Arabidopsis thaliana: one gene and its partners. The protein of the gene in region 3 binds, or shares a complex with, the protein of the main gene of each other region. Each region holds a gene or a part of one and is shown on either strand. Other genes may lie near its edges.

The links. Proteins that work in one complex are often made in the same cells at the same time.
Region 1: TIC55-II (region 3) and TIC40 share a complex: the UniProt entries of both Arabidopsis thaliana proteins name them as parts of the tic complex.
Region 2: TIC55-II (region 3) and Tic22-IV share a complex: the UniProt entries of both Arabidopsis thaliana proteins name them as parts of the tic complex.

Annotation. Positions count from the first base shown.
Region 1 is NC_003076.8:5,449,049-5,455,130, reverse strand, and holds TIC40 (hydroxyproline-rich glycoprotein family protein), read right to left. Parts: upstream 4,512-6,082; 5' UTR 4,324-4,511; coding exon 4,128-4,323; intron 3,877-4,127; coding exon 3,759-3,876; intron 3,671-3,758; coding exon 3,613-3,670; intron 3,503-3,612; coding exon 3,485-3,502; intron 3,075-3,484; coding exon 2,765-3,074; intron 2,646-2,764; coding exon 2,539-2,645; intron 2,432-2,538; coding exon 2,368-2,431; intron 2,006-2,367; coding exon 1,921-2,005; intron 1,816-1,920; coding exon 1,775-1,815; intron 1,591-1,774; coding exon 1,545-1,590; intron 1,439-1,544; coding exon 1,344-1,438; intron 1,263-1,343; coding exon 1,159-1,262; intron 1,059-1,158; coding exon 1,011-1,058; intron 929-1,010; coding exon 875-928; 3' UTR 554-874; downstream 1-553. UniProt on the Arabidopsis thaliana protein: Involved in protein precursor import into chloroplasts. Part of the motor complex consisting of a co-chaperone (TIC40) and a chaperone (HSP93) associated with the import channel (TIC110).
Region 2 is NC_003075.7:16,063,884-16,068,599, forward strand, and holds Tic22-IV (Tic22-like family protein), read right to left. Parts: upstream 3,015-4,716; 5' UTR 2,833-3,014; coding exon 2,467-2,832; intron 2,377-2,466; coding exon 2,314-2,376; intron 1,942-2,313; coding exon 1,867-1,941; intron 1,771-1,866; coding exon 1,720-1,770; intron 1,603-1,719; coding exon 1,543-1,602; intron 1,438-1,542; coding exon 1,375-1,437; intron 969-1,374; coding exon 933-968; intron 848-932; coding exon 755-847; 3' UTR 554-754; downstream 1-553. Other genes in the region: AT4G33355 (Bifunctional inhibitor/lipid-transfer protein/seed storage 2S albumin superfamily protein), read left to right, coding at 3,214-3,563, 3,676-3,685; FLDH (NAD(P)-binding Rossmann-fold superfamily protein), read right to left, coding at 4,106-4,246, 4,342-4,647. UniProt on the Arabidopsis thaliana protein: Involved in protein precursor import into chloroplasts. Imported into the intermembrane space via the Toc translocon. May be involved in the import pathway used by proteins without a cleavable N-terminal pre-sequence.
Region 3 is NC_003071.7:10,573,397-10,577,488, forward strand, and holds TIC55-II (translocon at the inner envelope membrane of chloroplasts 55-II), read left to right. Parts: upstream 1-1,545; 5' UTR 1,546-1,641; coding exon 1,642-2,036; intron 2,037-2,127; coding exon 2,128-2,230; intron 2,231-2,311; coding exon 2,312-3,433; 3' UTR 3,434-3,542; downstream 3,543-4,092. Other genes in the region: AT2G24810 (Pathogenesis-related thaumatin superfamily protein), read left to right, coding at 466-520, 637-792, 851-985, 1,068-1,303; AT2G24830 (zinc finger (CCCH-type) family protein / D111/G-patch domain-containing protein), read right to left, coding at 3,597-4,092. UniProt on the Arabidopsis thaliana protein: Involved in protein precursor import into chloroplasts. Part of the redox regulon consisting of TIC32, TIC 55 and TIC62.

The DNA of each region.
Region 1 (6,082 bases), on a different chromosome or scaffold from region 3:
TACTAAAAAGACAAAAGCTTTCTGAATAATCATGCTCACAGAATATCACATACCGTCAAACATTACGATTTTATAACTAAAACACTCTTCAAATGAATACCAAGCAAGGATGGTTTTTTCTCCTCGATTTTCTCAAGAGTCAGGGGATTATAAAGAACGGAAATACAAATTTGAAGTCACAAGGATACTTACCCACGACTCAATCATGCGACTCACAGCCGTCGGAGGCAGACGTATTCGACGGAGCCAAGGATTTCACGCGCCAATTCTCCCGACAACGACCGACGTACGGAATACAACAACAACAAAAAAAAACTCCGACTCCGATAGAAGTGGAACGATAAGGGTCATTGATTTCTTTAAGATGGGGCCATCACTTCATTAAACCGCTTCGATATCGCCACGTCACTTCTCCTTTTGGATATTAAAAATAAGGTAAAATTCCAAAATAAATCACAACTATTTAAAATTTGCGAGAAAAAAACTTCAATTTTTTAAATTGCTAAAACAAAATATTGGCAGATTTATTCACACAATCTCAAACAAAAAAAATTGAGGTTTTTTCAAGCAAATTTTGAATACATGAAGTTTATTTTGGAAATTTTCCCTTAAAAATAATAATTTGCTCTTCAGTGTCTTCATAGACTTTTTTTGGTAAGACAACAAATTCTATTGTATAATATTCATACCAAACAACAGCAGCGGCGTTTTCACACGACTCCAATTCCCGACCGCGTTTAAGATTAACATGGTACACAATTCTCTGATCTGACCAAAACTGAAGACTCTTTGCAAAAAAAAAAACATTTTTTTCTCCCTACAAAAAGCTAAAGACAATGTGACATTTTTGATAGAACCAAAGACGTGAGCTTTTTCAACCCGTCATTCCTGGGAAGAGCTGCGATATCTTGTTGAACACATCCATTACCTGCAATCAATGTATAATAACCTCAAATTTCTTAAAAAAGTAATCGCCTTTTTGGGCAATGGAGAAGTGGCAGTATTATTACCTCTTTGTCGTTTTGGTACTTCATGATGTTCATTGGGTTCTCTGAGCACTGCAACAACAACAAGAATGTAATTGGTTTCTGTTTTGTATGAAGAAAGAAGTGGGGTAAAATTAAGCAATTCTCTTATTCAGGTTAAAAGAAAACGTACTTCCATTAACGCTGCTTGGACTCTAGGATTCTGGAATGCCATGGCAACATCAGGGTTCTCCATGATCTTAGATATGACTTCTTCTGGAGTTAGTCCTATTTGATCTGACAAATACAGATTCAATCATTGAGTATCAGACCTATTTAACGTACTATTAACTTGGTACAAACTGAGATTTGTCTTACTGAATTGTTGCTTCACTTCAGGACTATTCAGGTCAAAATTCTTCAATGTATCTGTCATTCGCTTGTCCCATTCACCACTCCCACTCATATTATTCCTAAATTCATGAAAAGAAACAAACAAGAGTATTTCTTAATTACATAGTTTAGACATTCTTAAAAGCAATGGAAACAACTAAATTGTTCGTAAAATGGAGCTCTTACAACATGTCCTGTAGTTGTTGACGGTACTGAGGATTTTTAAGCATCCCTACAAAATTCCAAGCGGAGACAATAAGTACCAAACTGTATTTTAAATTTAGATAACCATTGGATCAACCTATAAACGAATTACATCATTCAAAAGCTAGTCATGTAACCTTTAGTCTTTAGAAATATGTAAAAATGAGGACTAATAAAAGAATGATAGCAGGATTAAATATTAAAAGACTTACATTTGAAAGTTTCTGGGTTCCTCATCTCCTCAGGCAAGTATCTGCATTTATACATGCAATGTTACCAAATGTCCACTAAGCAACCAGTTTTAAAGATAAACTTAATGGATGCATTTAAAGACAATGTGCTAGGGAAGATGAGTTACGGGTAAACCATCTTCTGGACTGTTGGATCTTCCATCATTTTCTCTAAAGCTTCTACAGATAAACCCGGCCCTCCTTTCCCACCACCTGTGTAAACAATAGACAGACTCAGGATTCAGTTTTAAATTTAGAATAAGGAAAAGAGAGACAATAACGTGAGCATATAAGAAAAAAGAATCATAACACATGAGATATGAAACAGATTGCCAAGGTAATATCCTGCAAGTCTTATATGGTTATACCAATACAGATCAACGACTAGCAGAAGGACAAAAGTAACGGAGTAGATCCTTTTGAAGCCAACTCATTCCTCTTTATCACCAATTTCATATCTTCCTTTGTTTATAATTGTTGGCATATGCTATAAAATAAAATTGAAATCCGTAGCCTTAATCATGAATCATGCACAGTGCGCTGATAGTGATGAAAACTGAAATTCAATAACTCACCCAAAGATTGAAAAACCTCTGAAGCAGTGGCACCATTTGCCGGACCAGCTCCATTTTGCAAGACCTTCACCCAGAGATCAATAAGAGAGCATAGAAGGTTAGCAAAACTATGTCACGTTTTTAAATCACCACTTGGTGTGCTGTGGAAATACAAAAGAAAACGAAACTTACATCCTCAAACAAGCGAGTTTCTTTGGGGGAATTAGTTTCAGAGACTTCTGCATAGTTGCTAAATGGGCTTTCTTTTGTGGTTTCCTCGGGTGAAATGTCTTCAAAGGCTGCATCCAAAAGTAAATCAGCTTCCAAGTTAGAAGCTTGGAAAATGAGAAAGGAAGAAAGTCAAAATTGAGAATACAAATGAAAAGACGTTGATTTCTGAAACAGAAAAAGAATCTACCATAGTTCTTTTCTTCTTTCTTCTCTTTGCTTGCCTCTAAGACAACACTTGGCTTATCCACCTCTATATCCTTTGCAGGTGTAGGTTTCGGTTTAGTTGAAGGAGGTGTCTCTACTTTTGTCGCTGTCACATCAACGGTAGCACCTGAAGACTGGGATTGAGATTGGAATGGCGAGGAAGCAGGACTTGTTTGAGGAGGAAATGGAAACGGAAAAGGTGATCCTGATGGGAATCCAGAATTATTAAACTGGCTATTTTGCGTATTCATTTGGTTCATCATCGTCTTCATAGCTGTTTGCATTGCATATTTCTAAACCAAAGCAAAAAAAAAAATCCAAAGAGAGTAACAGCCGGTTAGAGAATAATGAGAGAAAGCAATGACAACTTGTATAATATATTTCAATCAAATACTGGAGTTGCGAAAATGACTATAAGTCTGAATACCTGAGTTGCATCACTAAAACCATAATGGTATGTAGGTTACCATCTACGAATCAAGTGACTACCCAAAAAAAGAGAGGCAAAAGTTCGATGCTTATATAAACGGTTCAACAAGTGTGAGCAAACAGTTCACCTTGTTAAGATAACCAGTTTAGTGAATAAAACTATCTCAGATACATGAGCACAATACACTAGAGTTGACATGAAGCATAAAATCGTGGTTCTGCAACAGACTAGAGAACAAAAGTCCCGTAAAACCAGAGGGCCAAGTATCTGTACCTTTAAATTTGAAGTTACCTGCAATGCCATCAGAAAAGAAAAAAGGTCAAGCACTTATTAATCAATATTGAAGCAAGAAAGAATATTTATAGAGGAAAAAAAAATTAGGAAGGAATCTTGATACTCACATATGAGAACAAAGCTGATAGACCAACACCAACACCAATCCAGAAAAGTGGTGATCCTCTACAAGAAAAAAGAAAAAACACAATTTAATAACCAAGAATCAAACGACATACAAACTAAGCACATTGTCCAAAACCAGGAAAATTACATGGTTGATGAAGATGGTGGTGGCACAGGCACACTAGGGGAAGCAACAGAAGTTGTCTGTTGATCACGACTCGAAGAAAATATACTTGCAAAAGCTTTGCTTCTCTGTTTCACAACCACTGCAAATCGAACATAAACTTAAAGTAAACAATTCTAACAATGAATGGTTTCTACAAGAATTCAAATTGCAAATTCACAAAGTGTGGATTTTTTTAAGAGATATAGCAATTCATAAGCTCATATTAAACCAGTCGAAAAGGGTTCGCAATTTGAGTTTCAATAAGATAGATAAAAGTAATAAACTGGAAATTTTTCCGGAAAATTTTGGCATTTGCTATAATAGAGTGTCGAGTGGAATTTGCAAACTAACCGATTTCTCCAGTGTTCTCCGGACGCGAAGAGGGAGATTGAGATTGAGCAGAGGCAGATATTTTGGAACACCGGAGGACAATATTAGGAGTCCGACGAGAAAACCCAGTAGGGTTTTTCAGCGAGGAAGTGAAATTGCATCCAATTAACAGCTTTGGAGAAGAAGCTGAGCAAGAAACTAGGGTAAGGTTCTCCATATCTAATTGTTTCTTTGGGAGAAAAAGAAACAGAAGAAGGAGAGCCTAAAACAAATTCTGGTGGAGAAGATGAAAGATATGATGAGGAAGAAGGAAACGAAGAAGAAGAGATTTTGGTCTAAAACCACGAGGTTTGAGTTTAGCACTAGACTTGGATCCAGTGTAGCTAAGTGTACTGAAACCTTTTTACAAATTAACAGGTGGCGATATTTTCACCGTCAAGATCAATGAGTTTTATTTATAAACCAAGGGTGTGATGTGAGTGAGAAACTCTTTCGAGATTATTGCAAAAGCCATCCCCCACTTTTTCTTTTTGTTATGTTATAGCCCGTATCTATTTTAAGAATCAGTGTACACTCATTTTTGTAGCAGAAAATCAATGATGTTAGTACTGTGATTCAGATTTTTCTATATACTGTGTTCTTTTTCTTTTTTTCATCCAGAATTTTTCCATTGTATTATAGGTTGTGAAATACAAAGGGTGGAATACAAATTTGAAACACAAAGCCGGCGGAAAACAAAAATATCTCCGGAAACTAAACCTAAAGAAGGGAAAACTTAAGACGAAAAACGAATAAAATTACGAACTATGGAAACAAGGGGAACCACAGATGGATTAGTCCCCAATTAAGCCCATACATGAGAACAACAAAATTGGCTAGGTTTTTCGTTGTGTTTCTCGTCCAAACGAATGAGACTACGCCCAAATGGGACTAATCCATTTGTAGTTATACTGTTGTGTTTTTCGGATTGTCCAAAAAATTGAATACTTAGTTCAAAGCTCACAATGAACAGGTTCAAGAGCCTTACGCCTTTAACATTGATTTAGGATTAGAGAGTCTGGAACCGTTGCCGAGTTACATAGTTTACACATTTCTTATTAGAAAAGAGTTTTAGTAATAAAGAAAGATACACTTTCATATAGTTTCTGAATATTATTATGGAAGTGTAAGTCTCCTATATGTAACTCGTTCACCTTCATCATCAAATTGGTTTACACAGTTTGTTCCATATGTCATTCCCAAAGTACATTGTTCTGTCAAATTATTCCACCATGTGGTAAACATCGAATAATGCTCTCTTCTATTTTCCCAATTTTTTGTGAATTTTCCCCAATTCGAACATAAAATGACATTAAAATTCCTAACTCAATATCTTTGTAAGAAGAAACCCACTCTTGGTTGGATACATATCAAGCATCCAAAAAAGATCACAAAGTAATCTTACAAATCAGCTACGTTTAACAATATCGAAGACAAAAACAGAATTCATAGCTGCTTCTCAGACAAAGGGCACAATGATTCCACATATGAGTGCTTGAGAAAATGATAATGTTCTTCAAGATTTAAACTAAGAAAAATATCGAACAAGAGCTCTACACTGATCTCTTCCTTGATCTAAAACACAAAGGGAAACAAATCCCCTTCAAGTATTTTAGATCAAAGTGTCATCAAGCAATACATATAGCTCAAGAACTCTTTCTTTGGATTAAATCAAGAAGAACCACATCACATTCTCAAGCCCATCTTTTCAGTGTGGTTAAAGCAATATAATCATCATAGAACAGCCAAAAAAACAAACCAATTTTTTTTTTTAAAACAACAAATTTAGAAAAACTGAATATGAGAAAAAGCTGCTTCTCAGACAAGGGCCAAGGTTGTCCACATGAGTGAGCTTGAAAAACGTGAATGTTCTTCAAGCCTCAAACCATGAAAAATGTTGATAAGAGCTCGACATTACTCTCTACCTTAATCTAAAC
Region 2 (4,716 bases), on a different chromosome or scaffold from region 3:
ATGTTACAGATTTGTTCACAAAACCTCTACCAACTACAACTTTTGAAAAATTGGTACAAAAGACCATAGGCTACAATTGGTTGGAAGAATAAAGAAGAGAAAAAATGTTAGTAGGTGCAATATGCGACGACGGAGGAAGTCAAGCAAGCAACAAGTTTAGTTCTGCTGTCAACATCGCTTACTTACGCTTCAGGAAAGGATCAATGCTTTTGAAACAATCTCATCTCCTTTTCTTTTTCTTACTTCAACTTGTTTTTTTTAAGGCAGTAACAATTAGTAAGGATGAAAATAATCACATTATCATTAAGCTGAGATGTCAAAGCGATTATGATGAGAGGAAAAGAAAATGAAAATAAGTATTGGTAAGACATCTTAGTTTTAATAATCGTATATCAACCAAATTTGATCAATAATTAGCTTAAACCAACATATCATTTTAGAGGCCTCAACCTCCTTTGAATAATTAGGCTGATACTACATTCTAATGACAGATGAATAACGTACATCTCCACTTTTTAAAACAAACAAGATTATGTTATTTGATTTAGGTATCCGTATATGCCAAATATATTTTTCTGGATGTAAGAACCACGAGTAACATGTTGATGATGTGTTTAAGTGGTAAAAGGAGAGGAGAAAACTAAATTTTGGGACTGTGTTGAGCTCTTTGGGCAATTGATAATATTGCAAAATCTCAAAAGAGGCTGTTTTTTTTTTATCAAGTAAAAATACACACATTGTGTCTATTATGGTTTTACTCTTTGATCAAATCCTGCATGTGTTGTGCATAACTTCTTCCCGGTGGAATGAATATTACATCTTCCCAACCTGAATTCTTCTCGCTCATCTACATTGATTCAATTCAGATTTTTATTAGACTACCAGGTTTTCATACTTTAAGGTTTCTTTAAACAAAGAAGAAGCGTGAGTACCTCCATTTTCCTCAACACATCTTCCAGACTCCCAACCTGCAAAACAAAAAGATTAGTTCCATGGTGAAGATAAGAAAACTCTTAACAAAACCAATGCTGTGAAATTACTTTATATATTGATCTCTGATATGCAACTTTGATAACGATAAACCTTGGAATTCATTTTAACTCAGATATATGAAGGCATGTACAATCTGAATTCCGCTCTTTCTAAAGTTTTCTAAGACTTTTCCCTTTCCCTCGCTGTTCCTTTGAAAACATGGTGTTATATGTTTGCAGAACATGTAATCACAAAAAATGCTAGAAATTACATATGATGCCAACACAGCTACTAGCTACTCCCACTTGTTAGTAAACCATGTCTTTAGATCAAGGTGTTTGTTTCTATCTTACGTGGCCTATCGAAGATTCAAATACATAGAAGGTAGGTATGAATCATTACCATAATTTGTTGATCTCCTCTTGATGCTCTCGTATATTTAGAAAGTTCCCTCTCTATATCTTCCTGAAAGTGGTCACGCAGAACAGGAAAGTAAGAGTTATCTTCCTCTGTTTTGGCTTATGAGAGATCTATTAGTATTCTTTAACGTGGGAGAAGAAACTAACCAACCTTACTGAAATATACAGGGCAGTAACGTCTATTTTTTTTCCTCACAACAAGAAGCTCAGACTGTAGAGGCCAATAACAACAGATAGATATCAAGAGAAAACAAAGCAAAAACACCAAAACATAAGGAATCCATATTGGTATAATAGAAAAACACAGAAAATGAGTATATCAATTTACCTGAAAAACCGGAACTCCATCAAACCCATTCTTATTTCCTGAGGATTTGAGCTGAGACGCAAGAAAATATAGCTTATGGATAAGATTGAAATGCCAAATAAATGCTATAGACACATATAATTAAAAGTCTGTTTAGCATGAGCCAACCTCTAACGCATTCTTTATTTGGATTGGATCTGGCAAGAAGCGAAAGGAAATCCCTTCAACTTTTAGCAAGTACACCTGTAAACAACATCATCTTAACTTCTGGGAATGTAGCTACCACGATTACGCAAATAACATCAAAAAGTTCCCTAAACGTAGTTATAACTTATAAGTTCCAAGCCATTAGAGGGATTATAATCATGCCATCGTTGCATTCTTTCTTGTGACGATGTTGTCAACATTGCTACGTGCACAAGAACACAATCTCCCGTTCATTCAAACTGCCAACAGGTGTTCCTATTACCGTATAATATAAACAACTAAAATGAGGCCAGACATGAACAAGTCTACTTAGAATTTGAGCTCCTGAAATTTGTTTGTTTCATTTGATTTAACCAATGGCTTCTTCCACATTGATCTAATGCAGTGATCATAAGGAAAGGGAACTACCTGGTCCAGAGTAATGGGAACAACCTTCGCATTGGTTTTCAATTCTCTTCTCCGAAGTCGCGCCTAAAGGAGTATATTAGAGAATTATGAGCTCAGAAACTTCACATTTTTTTAAAAAAGTTCGGAGGAGAAAAATACAACAAAAAGCGAAACCTGAGCAAGAAAAGCTTCAGCATCCTCTTGTCGAAAACAGAGCAAACCGATAGACTTGCCTCCGGTAGGATCCGAGATAAGAACGAATTCGTTATTGGTGTTACTGACTGTAAACACCGACGTCCCAGCGAGAGCTTTAGCGACAAGAGATGGACTCAACGTCGTCGTCGGGGTTCCAGACTTGGATTGTGAGACGGAGGCGAAAGGCGGCGGAGTAGGAAGAGAGAAACGTCGAGTAGCTAGGGTTTCGGCGAATCGTTTCGTGTCTTCGATTCGGGCGGAGAGGTCGGAGCTGAAGCGGGTACACTGGTGGTGAATGAAAGAAGAGAAGGAGAGGAAAGGATTGGGTTTCACTGATGACTCCATTTTTGGATTTGCAGAGAGAAGAAAGAAGTAGAAGAAGAAGAAGCAATTTTTGATACTATGAAGAGAGTGAAGAAAAAGGCTTCAGAGCAATTCGTTTGGGCTTTTTTATTTGGGCTTTATTGGACTTGATTGGTTTTAGTTTACGTTTAATATGGCCCTTGATCAAAAGTTTGGTGACAAAGCATTTATTAACTTTCTAAACTCAACTTCCACACCATTCTAAACACATGACATGACTTACAAAAAGCTTTTGTCACTCAAAATTCATGTCGATGACATTTTTTTCCTCCAAATTTCTCCTCCTTATAAAATACTTACTAGATCAAGCAAACAACACACTAAAGAAAACAAAATTGTTAAAACTCTCGTTAACTGAAAAATATGAGGAACATTACTACTACAACCCGAAAAATGTTACTACTTGTGATTACGATTTTATTGGGGATTGCGTATCATGGAGAAGCCATAGCATGTCCGCAGGTAAACATGTACTTAGCACAATGTTTGCCTTATCTAAAAGCTGGAGGAAATCCGTCTCCAATGTGCTGCAACGGACTTAATAGTCTAAAAGCCGCAGCGCCTGAGAAAGCCGATAGACAAGTAGCTTGTAATTGCTTGAAGAGTGTAGCTAATACAATCCCTGGAATTAATGATGATTTTGCCAAACAACTCCCTGCTAAATGTGGTGTTAATATAGGAGTCCCTTTCTCTAAGACTGTGGACTGTAACAGGTAGCTACTGCAGTTTCTTTTTAATATTGCCGAAACATGTGTAGTTGTGAGAGCTTCTAACTACATAATCCTCTAATTGACCTATTTAATTTGTTTTGTGAACACTGAACAGCATAAACTGAAAAGAAGATTGACTACCAACGGCCATGCAGCTACAATAAAGTGGATATCCTAAAAGATCAAAACCATCATGAACAAATTATATGGATACTTAGTATTTATCTTCTGATCATATATGTTATAGATGTAATCATATAGTTCTTGGCAGATAAAATGTGATTATTTCCCACATTTACATATTCCCTCTTTCCTACTCTCACACGTAGCTCAACATCTTAAAATATGATCATCAGCATTTGCACACAATGTTTCACATTTATTTGACATACACGATCAAAACGAAGCAGTTTTGTAACAAGATAAAAATCGATTGGGTTAAAAGTGTAACGGGAGAAGTAAAAATGTAGTCATCACTCATCATAGTGACTGAATTCAAGGGAATATTATTCTTCGAAATACCTGAAAGATGGGAAATTTGAATTTCAGTAGTGAATGACGCCCAGACTCTTCAACCAAGGGAGCATCTCCTCCAATCCTTCCTTTAGGCTTCGAGGGTTATAACCAAGTTCCAGCTTAGCCTTATCACAAGAGTATGACCACTGATGTCTCAGCACTGTCACTGTCTGTTCATCACAAAATACTAAGAGTTGAGATTATTCTATACCTAATAAGATAATCTATAATATGTGGGCAACTAATGAATGCAATTGAAACTCACCGGAGGACTGATAAGTGGAAGCTTTCCTGTAACCCGAGAGATTAAAACAGATAACCATCCGTATGCGTTGATGGCCCATAATGGAATGCTAAAGTTTGGCTTTTTGGTTCCAGTAATCAGTGCAGCCATGTCAAAGACAAGCTTGAAAGAAGCATTTTCCCCAGTGAGTAAGTATCTTTCACCAAGCCTACCTTTTTCCATTGCAGCAACATGACCCTCCACAACATCATCAACATGGCTGAAGGAGTATCTATCCGTCCCAGAGCCAATATATCCAGGCAACCTCCCGTTAAAGCGCTCGATCAACTAGAAGAACAACATCATGTGATAATCAACCACATACTGTCAATGTACCACTACATCATCCCACCAATG
Region 3 (4,092 bases):
TCTAATCATTTTAAGTTTATTCCACTTTAATTTTGTAGTTTTTTTTTTCTTTTCTTCTTTATTGACTGATATTATAAATCACAAAGTTCAGGATGCAATGATTAAATTTATTAGATTACAATCAATGAGTATTAGTTTATAGTTATTAAAAATATTTAATATAAAAAATAAACAGTCATAAAATAATGTTTAATTTTTAATGTGTGTAAAATCCAAAACATCAATGCTTACGGAGATTTCCTTAAGATTAATAAAGTTGATTTTTATGTAATAAGAAACAAAATCTCATTAAACTTTAAAAGTAAAAAAAATAAAAATATGAAGTGTCACTTATGGTAGTAGTATCCAAAACAATAAGTTAATGGATTTGTTTCTAAAGAAAAGAAAAACACTATAAACAGAGGATCCTCACCATCAACTTTCACTAATCATCACAACTTCAACTTTTCAATACTCAGATTAACAATGGCTATTTTCTCCAAATTACATCTTCTCTTCTTCTCCTTCATCATAGCCACATGTATACATAAAACATTTCCAACATTTTAAGATGACTACTTTGATTTAATAATTTATCTGATAATTTTTTTTTGTTGTCCGTCCTAGTAATTTTTTTTTAATTGTATATTCTTCAAGGTACAATTTCTATTGTCTCCGGCACCGTCTTCACTTTATCAAACCGCTGCAACTTTACTGTGTGGCCCGGAATCCTAACCGCAAACCGCACACTACTCCGCGGCGGCGGATTTGCCTTAGCTTCAGGTTCTTCTGTAAACTTAACCGTTTCTCCAGGTTGGTCTGGTCGAATCTGGGGTCGAACGGGCTGCAACTTCAACGCCTCTGGTTCCAGAAAATGTAAAAATGCACCGGTGCAAGAGGAGCACCACCAGCCACACTAGCAGAATTCAGAATCGGCTCCTCTGGAAAGAAATACACCGTACAAGATTCTTACGACGTGAGTCTCGTCGACGGTTACAACGTTCAGGTGAAAATCACACCACAAGGTGGCTCAGGCAATTGTAAAACCGCGGGATGTGTTTCGGACGTGAATGCCATTTGTCCAAAAGAGCTACGCGTTAACGGCTCATCGGGTGTTGTGGCGTGTAAGAGTGCTTGTGAGGCTTTTAACAAACCGGAGTATTGTTGCACCGGCGCTTTCAGTAAACCGGAGACTTGCCCGCCGACGAAATACTCGAAGATATTTAAAGGAGCTTGTCCCACTGCGTATAGCTATGTGTACGATTATGCTTCGAGTAGATTTACATGTACTAGTGCTAATTATGTTATCAGTTTCTGTTCTTAGGCATAGTATAGCCTTTTTTATTGTTATTATTATCAACAATGAATAAATAATTAATCACTATTAACATAGTTTTATGTTTTTTTTTCATCACTATGAAATGTATTAAAGCAAAAAAGACTAATGTTAAAACTTAAAAGATTAAAAATAAAATAAAAAGAAGTTAAAATGACATTTAAATAACGTAAAAATAAACGACGTCGTTTAGCCAAAGTTTCTACTATCTATGTATGTGGTGGAACGAGGTCCAATGGTTGAACAAGCAACCTTATGATATATTTTATGAGAAGAGGCAAACAACACCTAACATTGGATTCGAGCTCTCTAGTGAAGAATCCGCCATGGCTGTTCCATTTCTAAGCTCTTCTCTACAACTCACACCCACTTCTCCGATTCTCTTCACTAAAGTAACACCAACACCAATAATCCACAACCACAGATCAACATGCACTATACCCACAAAGCCTCGTCTACGTCTCCTCCGCCGCTCCGCCGTCGCTGGAACCGCCGTATCTGATCAAACAGAAGGAGGTGGAGATGTTCTTTTAAACCCTGAAGAAGAGAAACGTGTTGAGGTGGCGGATTATGATTGGACAGAGGAATGGTATCCATTGTACTTAACTAAAAACGTCCCTGAAGATGCGCCTCTTGGCCTCACCGTCTACGATCGTCAAATTGTTTTGTATAAAGACGGTGAAGGAACACTTCGTTGTTACGAAGATCGGTGTCCTCATCGGTAAGATAAATCATCTAGCAAAACCACAACCACTAGTTTTGTACTTTTGTTTAGGAATCTGAAATTGAGTTTTGTCTTTTTTTTTATAAAGGTTGGCTAAGTTGTCTGAAGGACAATTGATTGATGGGAGATTGGAATGTTTGTATCATGGTTGGCAATTTGAAGGAGAGGGCAAATGTGTCAAGATTCCTCAGGTTCTTTGTTTACTGATTTTTGCTATTTCGAGATTTTCTCTTTACTCTGTACTTACTGGTTTTGGGTTCTGTTTCTAACAGCTTCCTGCAAGTGCTAAGATTCCAAAGGCTGCTTGTGTGAAGACGTATGAGGTGAAGGATTCACAAGGAGTTGTGTGGGTGTGGATGTCAACAAAGACACCTCCAAACCCTGAGAAGCTTCCTTGGTTTGAGAATTTCGCTAGACCCGGTTTTTTCGACATTTCGACTACTCATGAGCTTCCTTATGACCATTCCATTCTTTTAGAGAATCTGATGGATCCTGCTCATGTTCCTATCTCTCATGATAGAACGGATTTCACTGCTAAAAGAGAAGATGCTCAGCCTTTGGTTTTCGAGGTCACAGAGCGAAGTAATCGGGGTTTCGCAGGGACTTGGGGCCGAGAGAAAGAAGGTGGGAAAGGGAGTAATTTACTTCGGTTTGATGCTCCTTGTGTTCTGCAGAACAATCGAGAGTTCGAGGGGAAGGATGGAGTGAAGAACTATTTTTCAGGGCTGTTTCTTTGTAGACCTACAGGGCAAGGGAAGTCTATGCTTATTGTTAGGTTTGGGGTCACAAAAAGATCGCCTTTGGTTTCGGTGTTACCTCAATGGTTCTGGCATCAGAATGCCTGCAAGGTTTTTGAACAAGACATGGGGTTTCTATCGTCTCAAAATGAGGTTCTGATGAAGGAGAAAGTACCAACTAAGGACTTGTATTTGAATCTAAAGTCATCGGACACATGGGTCGCTGAATATAGAAAGTGGATGGACAAAGTTGGTCATGGGATGCCTTACCATTTCGGGCATAGGACCATATCTCTCCCCAAAGTCCCTCCTGTCGTGGAACATGCCCCGGCAGGGCTCATTGCAGCTCTCTCTGCTTCTTACCCTGCAAAAGGCGGAATTGGGACTATGCATGCTCCCAATTTGGCTAACCGGTACTTCAGACATATTATTCATTGTAGAAGCTGCAGCAATGTGATCAAATCTTTTGAGCTCTGGAAAAATATCCTCTCTGCCACGGCAGTGGCTTTGACGGCTTTGGCCATTCTGGTGGTTAGTAGACAGTGGAAGGCTGTCCTGTTAGGTTCAGCAGCATTGTGCTCAGCCGCAGCTTATACCTGCTTAAGAGCTATAAATCTAAACACCAATAACTTCATTAGAACACACAGAAGACTATGAAAATGTATAGTGTCATGTTTCCTCTTCTTCCAACAATATGTATTTCATGAAATAAATTTTTGCTTGTAAACGCAATTATATAATTCAGAAGGTTCCAATGTTTGCCATCAATCTTACAGTTTAACCATGAAATTTCTGTTAAACTGGTTTAAAGTTCTATGTTCTAAAACTTGAGCCATTTCTTCTCATTCTCTTTGCTTACTATAGCATTTGAGGCAGCTGCTTGACATGCTAATGTACTTGCCAATGCCTTTCGGACTTCTTTCAATCTTCTCGTCGCAGCCTCTGAAACAACTAGATCTTTCTTGTTTCTGTTCACCATCTGTTCTAGTTTCAACATTTCTAACTTCAAGTCTCTGACTTCATCTTGGTATTCAACCAAAGCTTTCCTGTCTACTGGACCTTTGTTTTGCCTATTTTTTACAGACTCGCTGTGTACTTTCTCATGGCGGGTAGGAAAAATTTGTTCATTGATTAAGCTAAACAAATCTGGCTTCGATTCCTCTTCCTGTTTCGCTGCTTTAGCTGCTTCTGCAAACTTCTTCCCACGCTTCCTTTTCCCACCTCTGCTCCTTTTCTTCTTTTGTTTCTCGCTTTTACATTCTCCATTCCTAATGTGCTCAAGAGCATAATCCAGTGACCGCTTTGCTGGAAGTACT